Linked DNA regions of Drosophila melanogaster. The protein of the gene in region 1 interacts with the protein of each later gene in a pairwise test. Each region holds a gene or a part of one and is shown in the gene's direction. Other genes may lie near its edges.

Region 1 (4,725 bases):
TGCAATAATCTTCGAATTATGTCTTCGAAAGTCACAAAAATACCATTGAGCGGTATTTGCGACAACCGAAATAAGTCTAAAACATATTATTAATTAAGTAGTAGTGTATTTTTTCGGCTCGTTACCTGTTCGGCGAGATAACATACATTTCTGGCCTTCTTCTAAAACATATTTGCATGATCTGAAAATGTTTGCCTATCCTTATCTTTGTTTCGGTTTCACCCTTTTTTCTTGTCGTTATGTATAAGCTTTTGTCGAAAGAACTAATATATAATTCGCTTTTTAAAGATTCTGTGTACGCGGCTTCATTGGCTGCAGTCTCCCGCGTTGAACAGGCTCTGAGTGAAGCAGCAAGCTCATTGAGCTCATTTACGCAGCGTCCTGGACCCCGACGACCCTGGATGCTACAGATTGAAGTGCGTTCTTAGTTTCGTTTAGTATCCACGATAATGTATTTAATGCTGCTAAATGGATTTGTTTTAGATATGGCTTCTGCTGGCTGATGTCTATCTGCGGATTGATCAGCCGAACGAGGCACTCAACTGCATACACGAAGCCTCACAGATTTATCCGCTTTCGCATCAGATTATGTTTATGGTAAGTCCTTCAATCTTGATTTATTTTTTTCTAACTCCAACTAATATAATTACCGTTTTTAAGCGTGGCCAGGTGCATGTCTATTTGGAGCAATGGTTTGACGCCAAGCAATGTTTCCTGAACGCCGTGGCCGCCAACCCAAATCACACAGAGGCTTTGCGTGCGCTTGGAGAGGCGCATTTGGTACTGGGCGAGCCGAGGTTGGCTGAAAAAATGCTAAAAGATGCGGCCAAACTGGATCCGAGCTGTCCAAAAATTTGGTAAGCTTAAAGACGTATGCTCAGTACTTAAAACCAAACTCATATTGACAAATTTACCAGGTTCGCACTGGGAAAGGTGATGGAGATCCTGGGCGATTTCCATGCCTCAGCCGATTGCTTCGCCACGTCGCTGCAGTTAGAGCCATCATGTCCGGTGCTACCTTTTACTTCTATACCTTTGGTGTTTGAATAGGAACACTTTCGTGTCTAATTCGAAGCTTGACAAACCTCAAAGTCAACAGCAATACTAGAATTATACTTCCTAATTCCTTCAGTGTAAAAATTGTTGTATCGCAGTTTTGGAGCAACAAATGTTTAAATATTGTTTGTGTGTAAATTATTACCAAGAATTGTTCGAGCTTGGCTGTATTATGTGAATGAACCATTCTGCTATCTTCCTTAATCACCCACTTTTAAGGAGATGGTTCGGTTAAATTTATTACTCTATTAGGTGTTGTTAATTACATACAAAATTGGTTATTATATAAATATACAGTATTTCGTGAAATTATTTCATCATATCATTGTGTATCAGTAAATGTCAGTATTCGATTTTTTAAGTTCCTTGCATTTTCTACTTGGAAAATGATTCTAATTGTTTTGAAAGCTTGTTTCTCTTTTACCCTGTGGCCTTTTACTTTCCTTACAAGCTAATTTACGCCGTAATATCCGCATTCTCTGCTAAAGGCCAAATTTAGACCTTAAAATTACCAAGGAGCTTACTTGCAGTTGGGCCCCATTTCCTTTAGTTTCGGTGCGCTTGTGTCGTTGCCCTGGGCAACTACTATAGCGTACGGGCAATCAATAAAAATATAAACAAGCCAGTCGAAAGTGTCGCTGCGGAACAGGCACAGGAATTTGGGTTTATTACGCCACTCTTAAAAAATCGCGGGCGATTCATTTTGTGTGCCACTTTAGACTTTGGCCCTGTTAGATCAGCAACTTGAATTTTGATGGCCGATTAGTTGCACAAGCATTATGACGCCCAAACGAAAGCGTCGCGTACGCAGCGAGTCGCGGGCCAAAAGCAAAGACCAGGGAAGGTCCAAGGCAGAGCACTTGCATCTGCTTGAGCAACTGGAGTTGACCGACAGCTGCTGCGACATCTGCCACTGCGACTGTTACAGTTCCCACAGCAGCGGTTCTGCGAGTGGACGCGGCAATCAGCGGCAGGCGAGCGTCAAGGAGTTGTTGCAACTGGAAAACGACATTCAGACCCTGGAGAAATTGCAGCGACGGGAAAGTACAAGCTGCCACCGAAGTGCTTCCAGGTCGCCAACAGAGCGAAAGTTTCCCCACAGCAGGCGGGGATCCTTCGACGGTGAGAAAAGAAGTGCAAGCTCAGGCAGGACTCGGCGGTCGAAGAGCGCAGGAAGTCGCAGTTGCGAGTCCCGGGAGAAGCAGCCTGCACAGAAAGCGCAACAAATTCCTCAGGATCGTCGAAAGCGCCGGGCTCAAAAGGATTGCAAAATGCTTCAAGTAAGCTCAGATGCCAGGAAAAAGGTTATTCGAATGGACAATGAGCAATTTTAGAGTCTATCCGTCCGTCTGTCTAAATGAACGCTGTGATCTCAGAGCTATAAAAACTGCAAGTTTGGTTTGAACGTTGCCACGCAGAAGACGCCCAAAACTGTCACCCTAAAGTGATTTACATTTATTAATATTTAATTATTTAACTTGCTTATTTTCATTTTGGCCACAAACGGCCAAAACTGTCGTTTCTCTGGCCGTAAGGAGCACGGCCGATATAGCGTCGCCCAACTTTGCAATTTTGTTTCAAAGAATTAAAAACCCCACTCTAATGCCTACAAACTGCGGCCACTTTTATTATTTTATGTTGTAAGCTTTTAACTGTCAAAAACATTTTGGCTAATGATGTTTTAGCCAATTAAGAAGTCAGTAAGCAACAAATGTAATCGCCGCTACGTGATCGCATTCCTACCTTTAATTCTTTGCCACCTTTACAGAAATTCTTGGCTCCCCTCAACGACGCACACAACCTTTCCATCGTCGGACGGGCCAAGTCCAAGTCGCAAGAAAATTTGGCTGTGGTTTCGTGCCAGCCGCAGATCAAGAAGAGCTCGTTATGCAGCTCGATGGCCAACTTGTGCCTTGCACCAATGGTGCGAGCCGCATATCAGCAGGTCCCCAGCCACGACCAGAAGATCCTGAACTGCATGGCGGAAAAGCGGAGGCAGCAGGCCGCCGATAAGGAGACGGCCTGGTTGGCGCGCAAGTTCTGGGAGAACGAGCGACTTGAGCGGCAGCTTCTTCGCGTGGAGCAGCTGGAAGCTTACAAGCATGCGGTTCACGACAAACAGTTCCAGGACTACCTGGTGACCAAGGCGCGACTGCAGGCTTTGGCCGAGCGCGATCTGGCAGAGCTTAAGCGATTGCGGGGAGCGCTTAACGCCAAGGACGATGCGGTCAAGAAGCGACTGGAGGCCAGGCGGCTGGAGCGAGACCTTAACATCTCACAGCGACGGTGCGAGGAACTGCGTCGTAGCGAGGCGGTCACTGTGCATCAGGAGGAGCAGCACCTGGACGACACGCTGCGTAAGCGCGACATCTGCATGCGGCTAACGCAACGCCTGCGACGGGCGGACGAGTTACGCGGCCAGCTGATGGAGTCGTACCTCAAGCGTATGCAGCTCGACAACTACATGGAGCAGGTGCATCACGAGGAGCACTGGCGGGAGCGACAGCAGGAGGAGCGGCTGCGCAGGGATCAGCTCCGCGAGGATATTGAACGCAAACGCCATCAGTCCCAGCGTTTCGTTGAGTGCCGCCAACGGCGCCAAAATGATCGCTTCCGTACCGCCAAGATCTCTGCCAGTCTGCGGGAGCTGGTGCGCCAGTCGGTCACACCAGAAGGCGCTATTAGTGGCTCGGTGGGCCAGGATAACCCAGCGCTCAACTCATATGTCCAGCAGCAGATAAAGCTGGGTCGCCTGCTCTTCGAACAATCTGCCAGGGAATAACTTGTTTGGATGATGCATTTTTGATGGTTATGTACATATATACAAATTGTTGCTGGTTTTATGTTATTAAAGTCATTTAATACTTGTAGTTCTATTTTTGTATATTTATCTATATATATTATATTTACGGAATTAGAATTATTCGCTTTTTTTTGTAACACGCTAAGTCAAGTACTGCATAAGGTCCCGCGTATGATTGGAATCCGATGCATAGATTTGGATCTTATCGCCAAATGAACAGTGATAACAAAGCCGTACAATCAAAAAGCACCGGGTGAGGAGGTTGATGTCTGAATGGAGACAAAGGTGTACCCCACCCTGAACCAGGAACTGCAGAGCACGTTCATAAGTATACGTATGGGCAGAGTGAGCCTCAGTCAAAGGCCTTGAAGTGGGACAGTGTCCCAAGAGGAAAGACTCCCCTTAGTTTCCCCTCATTTCGCATCGATCACGTTTCGGTAGTGCAAATACTCAAAGTGACTAAGAGCCCCGCGAATTATACAGAAGATGCACATGCATCCCAAACTGAGACAAGGTTATCTGACCCCATTGAGTCTGATTCATCGTCGACCTAGGCCAGCGGTCGTTTCCTGGGTTCAAGCTTTTAGTCTCTATCAAAGTTAATTAGATTAACACTTTAACTGCTTTCTCGGTTTTAGAGCTCAAGTGCATAATTGTTGCGGTGGTTTTGAAATTGAAACAAGTATTGTGCTCATGCACGGTGACATTTTGTTGTGTAGCTAGTGGAGACATGATTTTGTGGACTGTAACGTGAAATTACTCTTGGAAAGTATGCCTTGCCTACGCATTGAGTAGCCCGCCCTAGGAATTTATGGCGTGGGGGAATTTACTAACCATGAAAATGATAAAACGTGGCGATTATATTC
Region 2 (6,597 bases), on another chromosome or scaffold:
GGACGAGGAGCCAGCACCAGGAGCTGATGAATTCGCTGAGGATCGAGGAGAGCAAGCGGAAAATCGACCTGATCAACGCCCAAATCGAATACTGGCAGACGCTCACCCGCAAGCTGAACAGTCAGGCGAATCACATGCCCAATCCTGCGTGCCCGTGCCACTTCCCTGGAGCCAGTGTGCTCTCGCCCGTCGCCGTGACCGCCGCTAGTGCCTCATCGTCCGCTTCCGCCAATGTGTTGCAGACGCAGGCCAGCACCAGCTAGTCCGCAGCCAAGGGGCGGTTCGAACTAGTCGGGGGTCCTGCGGGCGAAAGCGAAAGCGACAGCGACATCATCTCGATAGTGGACATAGATGATGGGCGGTCTAGGGAGGACGAGCAGTCGGAGGACGATGGCGAGAACCGTGACCAGGCCATAACGGACCTGACGCTACCCGACGAAGACGAGGAAGACGATGTAGACGAAGATGACTCACAGGATGCCTTGGTCAGGGATGTTGGCGTGGTGGGCGGCCTGTCGTCGCCAGATACACCGCCCCACTCCTCTCCGCCGCCAGCGAAGCGCTCGAAGCGCCAGGAAGTCACCTCCGAGCTCCTGAGGCAGCTGGCCCTGCAGCAGAATCAGGATCCCCAGGAGGGGTGCTAGTATTTTGTCTAGTTTGCTAATTTTATACTTGCTACCATGGATTGACGCAACCACTTTGTAACATTAATTTTACCATATATATTTATTTACGCCCAGTTTGAGTGCCAAAACAGAAACCAAGATTGGGGCCTTGCCATCGAAAATGCTTGCCAAAGGACCTGCTGAAATAACCGGTCATAACCACTCGCGACCCACTATTTATTTGCCAGCCTAACTGAAACATAGCGATTCATCTCATTTTAAAATGTCTTGCGTCGCCTATTTTTTTATTGCCTTTTTTTTTCTATACATGTAACGTGTTTATTTTTAAGTTTTCCTACGAGCTGCTACCAAAAAGAATAAGAAGAAGAAGGTGACTATCTTGAATGTACATTTACTTTACAAAACTAGACCTTACTTACTTACTTAATTAGAGATCGAGCAGCTAAGAACGCATGAAAATGAAATGTACAAATGTGGTTCCTAATCTAGTCCCTAAAGTCAAAAGTGAAGAACGAAAGAGCTACAGAAAAGAAATCGAAATTGTTACGCCTAGCCGAGAACTTGTGTATTATTTTTTTATATCGCTTAGATTGTTCCCCCGAGGAAAGCATTGAAGGAACTGTAGCTAATTTATGTACTTAATGAACCAGTGAAACCAAACCAATGATTTGAAATGGTGTAAAGAGAAGAAACTTGCTAGTCGCCGCTGCATAACTGTGTAAATGTGGCACACAAACCATTTAGTTAGTGTTAGTGCTACTGTACGTGTAAAATACAATTAATTGCCTATCCAGACCCAGTAACCACAATTTACAAGGAAGCACACACCAAACGAAACTGAAAACCAAGAAAACAAAACTATTTATACAATTTTGTAAACAAGAACTTATTAATAAAACAATGAATTTACTTTGTGGCCCAGCCTGTTGACTTTTGGATAGTAAAATTTCGTTTAAGGCTTAACATTTTGGCACTTACGCTCATTTTGCTCGCTTAAGCTGCTCTTCATTTGGCGCCAAACGAATTGGCGTTGCCCAACACTGACCAGCCAGCACAAAGCGCTACCAGACTGCGCAACCGACTGCTCATCTGGGAACTGGTTCGCACATATGGGCGCCCGCGAACCAGTTATTCGTTACTCATCAGTTCCAGTTCGGTTCAGCAAAAATTGTGCAAATAAATTGCGGAAAGTCGGATTGTTTATGTGGGAATCGGCAGCGAAAAGCGACTCGGCGGCAGTAACAACTAGAGTGAATGAAGTGAGCACTGCCACTCCCACGCACACTACTGTGCAGTCTGTGTGCGCCAACTGTGAATTGCGAAGTGCGAATTCCGTACTTCGGATTGCGGATTCCCCCCCTCCCTTAAAGCACTTGGAAAACCAACACCTGGCGCACGTACACGCACACGCACACTTGTCCTGCTAGCGAAAGAAAAATCCCTGTCAGCTGGTGCAGCGATTCCCGAAGCAACTCCGAGGAGCAGGACACCGTGGAAAGAGGCGACAACTGAAGCTGGTCTTCAGTGAACACAGAGTCCAGTGAGCAAGTGTGAGCAAGTAAACAAGTGATACAGCGCTTGGCAGGAGTCACAGATTATCTGAGCGACCACCTGGATGCCCGGCTTTCACCTCAATGAGATGGGTGAAATGGTCCTGGACGCCATCGACGACATCGGCGTGGTCGATGTGTACGACTTGGCCTCCGACATTGGCAAGGAGTACGAGCGGATCATGGACCGCTTCGGCACGGACGCCGTCAGCGGGCTGATGCCCAAGATCATCAACACCCTGGAGCTGTTGGAGGCGCTGGCCACGAAGAACGAGCGCGAGAACGCCACCATCCAGGAGCTGCGCGATAAGGTGGCCCAGCTGGAGAGCGAGAAGCTGGAGAAGGCCGAGTTCCGGCGGCGGTTCGACAAGGAGCTGGAGCTGATCGAAGAGCAGTGGCGCAGCGAGACCAACGAGCTGGTCGATCTCGTCTCCTCGCTGCAAGACGAGAACAAGCGGCTGGTAAAGCAGACTCAGGATCTGCAGTCATCGTCCGCCCAGAGCTCCGGCCTGGGGGCCAGTCTCACCGAGAGCATTATCAGCATGACCAACCACGAGCTGCACAGCGCTCTTTCGGATACTCAAGTGCTGCAACGGCTGAAGGAGCAGATATACAAGCAGCGCGACGAGTTGAAGCACCGCGAGCGTGAGCTGCAGGACAAGTACAGCGAGCTGGAGCACGTGAGTGTCCTTAAGGATAGGTGCTCATATTCCCAGCTAACGTATTCTTAACTAACCCTTCCCAGCTCAATATCCAGGCGGAGCGTCTGAAGGCATCAGAGCGAGATACCCGGCGCCGCCACAAGCTGATGCAGGCCCAAGTGAAGACGCTGTGCGAGGAGCGCGCCGACTTTCTTGCCCAGCTGCAGGACCAGAGCCGGGAGATCAACCAACTGCGCAAGCGATTGGGCCTGGCCGAAAAGGAGAATGAGGATTTGGTGGCCTCGTACGACGATGGCCAGAACGATCCCAACCGGCCGCGGTACACCACGCGCGAGCTGAAAGAGTTGATTAGCGAGCGCGATGAGCTGCTGACCACCATCGACACCCTCAACGAGCAGCTGGCGGAGCTGAAGCCACCAAGCCAGGCGAAGGGCAAGCGGCAGCGTCACTTCTCCAGCTCCGACGATAGCGATGAGGACGACGATGGTCACGTGGCGGACAACGATGATGACGACGACGAGGAGGAGGCGGCTGCCGAGGCGAACGAGCTGGAGCCACCAGCGGCCGGAGAAACGTGAGTGAGCCCATTTCTGTTACATCCTTTAGTTTTGTGGTCCCTCACCAGAGAAAACAAGAATTTATGAACGACCGCTTGAGTCAAAGTGATTAACGAACAAGCATTTTCAGCCTGAGTCATTCTTTTGTTGTTGCTCAGTGCTAACAATATTCAAATAGACCCTATGATGCAAACGTTTAATTGGCAGGTGATTCAGAGCTTAAACGTATATATTTGCGTGTTTTTTCGCAAGGTCAGCAGGTAACTGGTAAATGGCACAATTGGGAGTCAAACAAATCGTTGGATTCGGATCTATATGTTGATTATTTTTGAGTTTTTATAGCTAATTACTATCCCTAGTTATGATTACTTAAGTACATACATAGTGCATCGCTTTTCAGGCCACCTGGACACGATGCGCCCGTGCAGGGCCCTTTGCCCTACGAGCCGGACGATGCGCCCTGGAAGAAGAGCTCCGAGTCGGGAATACGCAAATTGTAAGTGGCATTCAATCGGCGTAGAGCTCTCGATTCACTTTCTGCATTGTAGCTTCCGGAAGCTGTTCTCGGACCCGTCGGACGGCAGCAACACGTTCCCGAAACGTTCCTTGGCCACGCTCTCCAAGATGGCGCTGTCGGCCACGCCCGGTTCCGTTTCCGCCTCCGCAGCGGCGAAGTAAGCGCCCCTTAAAGCATCCGAGTTGGCGTGCATTTCACTTTTCGTTTGTTTTCTGTTTTTCCGTTTCCGTTCCATTCCGTTCCGTTCCGTTTGCACTGCCCCCCGCACCCCTGCATCTTGCATCCTAATTTATTATTTATTTTTTACTTTTACGTCTTACGATTACGTTTACATTTAGTTTAGGCAACAGCCTGTATCTGACCCTGTCCCTCGCCATTCACCTGCTCCGCCTGAGCTGTACATACATAGTTTACACACTCGATTGCTGTGCCCTCATAATTCTAAGTTGTTATGCAATTTTGTTTACGTAATACGCGTTTTATTCGTAACTCGTAACCCCTAACTGTACTGGATATATTTAATACGAATCCACTTTGTATTTTTCGTACCTTCGATTTATTCTAACTTGATTAACGACTACCACATAAGACTCCAAACATACCACAGCCCCCACATGTGCACGTGTTTCAAAAATCAAGATCGAGAACGAAAACGAGAACGAAAACGATATCGAGATTGTGCAAAGATTGCCGAGTGAGTTTTTAATGAATTTAGACAAAAACAAGCTTAGAAAGACAAACAGTCCTCCCAGGTGCAGATGCAGAGAAAACGATTCGGTGAGATGAGGAGACGAGACGAGGAGGACTCTGGTTCTGGGACCCCAGATTTTAGAAAGTCTAGGTAGAACGGGAAGATTTTGCTTCAATTATCCGTAGTGTAACTGTCCCTAAGACCCCTGCATCTATCTAGATCTTCGGCTATCGCCAGCCCGTATGAGTATTTTAGCACTCTCATAGCAGTTGCCCCAAGCGGCCTTATAAATATATTACAAATTTATCAAAATACGCAAACCTTAGAGCGAAAGAAACCTAAAAGTATATATAATTGATATATAATTAGCAAACGTTACAACCTTAGCGCATTGTTTGTTGACTTGAATTGAACTAACTAACGAAACCAATCTCAGCATAGTAGATTCCATTGATAGCATTCGATTGCACAAAGATGCCAAAAAGCGAAAATCTCCGCGTTACCCCATTGCCGGCCGGCCAGTCTAAATCAAGGAATGTTTTAGCCAAGAGTTTTACCATAGACTTAGCCACTGACCAGCTCGAATTGTTGTTACCGCACCCAGACGACTTCGCCCAGAGCCCCCACTCCACTTGAAGCCCAGTGATTTCGAGGAGATCTCAGTCCGATCCTCGTTCATAGCTAGTATCCATGAGAGAGACGCCCATGTAGTGCAATTACCAATATGGTGTCACTTCCCGCTCCCCTTCCACTCACAAGCACAAAGCGAGGAAACTCCGTTTACATATCAGCTCCATCGCTATCGTCGATGCGAACGTGCCAAAGACTAATGGTCAGACCCTATGCCCCCATTATTCGCAACTCCCCCCCACTACCCACACCACGCACCGAACACCCAGCCCACAACACCCGACTTACCAATCTCAATTAACCCATCTCGTTTCGAACACAACAAAGAGTGGCAACTGAACTTTTATAAAATTGAACACGAGCGCGCAATGGCATCGATATGAAAAAGTGGACTAACGTTGAGTGGGTGAAGACCACGAAAAGAAGATGGAGAGAAATTGAGTATTTGGTGAATTAATGTTAACTAAATTTATATACACATATACACATGCATTATACATAATATACTTTACTATATACTATGTAATACCGTATTATATGGAACTATGACTAACCAAAAAGGCAACAAGGCAACAATTATACAAAATTCAAAGCGTACCAGGGTGGCACTTGGACCATGGACTGCAGGAGCGACCAGAGCGATAGCGAGCATCGGATCGGATCGGATTGGATCGCATCATGGTGAACCGCATCAGAGGGCGACGCCTCCGCATCCGGGTATCATCTGCTCACCCCTGTACGTACATCAAATTTATGAGTGGCTTCCTTTGAGCGACCACCAAAATAAACTTATGAACCGTGGAGTGGATTTCGAATGAATGATTTGGGTTGGCGGCAAGTGGAGCACTCGCTGTGCGGAACCTAAGGTGTTTATTTCATTATTTAACATTACTTATAAGTTCGTTTTTAATTTGGCTTATTTTCGATTGCTTTCAAAATTATTCCCAAGGTATTGTAAGAAACAAGTCGAGATCGGCAGAGAGTTCAAGATCATTGTCATCATCGTGTGTTTCATCGTCAGAAACGAAGGATGTTTGAAGACCATCTTCAAGTTCAAGTATTTTCACGTATCATAACATTTCATATCAAGCCTTAAAGGTTAGTAGCGACTTCAATTTGCCCATAAACACATTTCGGGGTGCTCTAGTCATTGGAGTTCTGGCTTCCATGTCGCCCGAGCCTGTAGCCTCTAGCTACTGATATCCTTTGCACAAGGACAGTCGGTGGGGTTGTATTTCGATCGTGCTTTTGGTACTAAGAAAAGGGGGTGGATGTCGAACAAGGCTGATTGCGTAACACCTGGCAGTGCATCCCATGGGATTCCCCCGCGCCCGACCACCCATCGCGGTGGTTGGAGCTTTCTC

What was found.
Region 2: the proteins of CG17994 (region 1) and Rilpl interact in a two-hybrid assay, tested with the Drosophila melanogaster proteins (one large-scale study listed by BioGRID).

Annotation. Positions count from the first base shown.
Region 1 is NT_033778.4:6,206,419-6,211,143, reverse strand, and holds CG17994 (uncharacterized protein), read left to right. Parts: upstream 1-1,675; 5' UTR 1,676-1,835; coding exon 1,836-2,336; intron 2,337-2,824; coding exon 2,825-3,838; 3' UTR 3,839-3,925; downstream 3,926-4,725. Other genes in the region: Ttc7 (tetratricopeptide repeat domain 7), read left to right, coding at 289-416, 484-597, 661-857, 918-1,050.
Region 2 is NC_004354.4:1,391,303-1,397,899, forward strand, and holds Rilpl (Rab interacting lysosomal protein like), read left to right. Parts: upstream 1-1,751; 5' UTR 1,752-2,241; coding exon 2,242-2,856; intron 2,857-2,921; coding exon 2,922-3,412; intron 3,413-3,780; coding exon of another isoform or gene 3,781-3,795; coding exon 3,796-3,891; intron 3,892-3,943; coding exon 3,944-4,069; coding exon of another isoform or gene 4,070-4,073; exon of another isoform or gene 4,074-4,250; coding exon 4,251-4,383; 3' UTR 4,384-6,035; downstream 6,036-6,597. Other genes in the region: CG32813 (uncharacterized protein), read left to right, coding at 1-263. UniProt on the Drosophila melanogaster protein: May have a role in lysosome distribution by interacting with Arl8.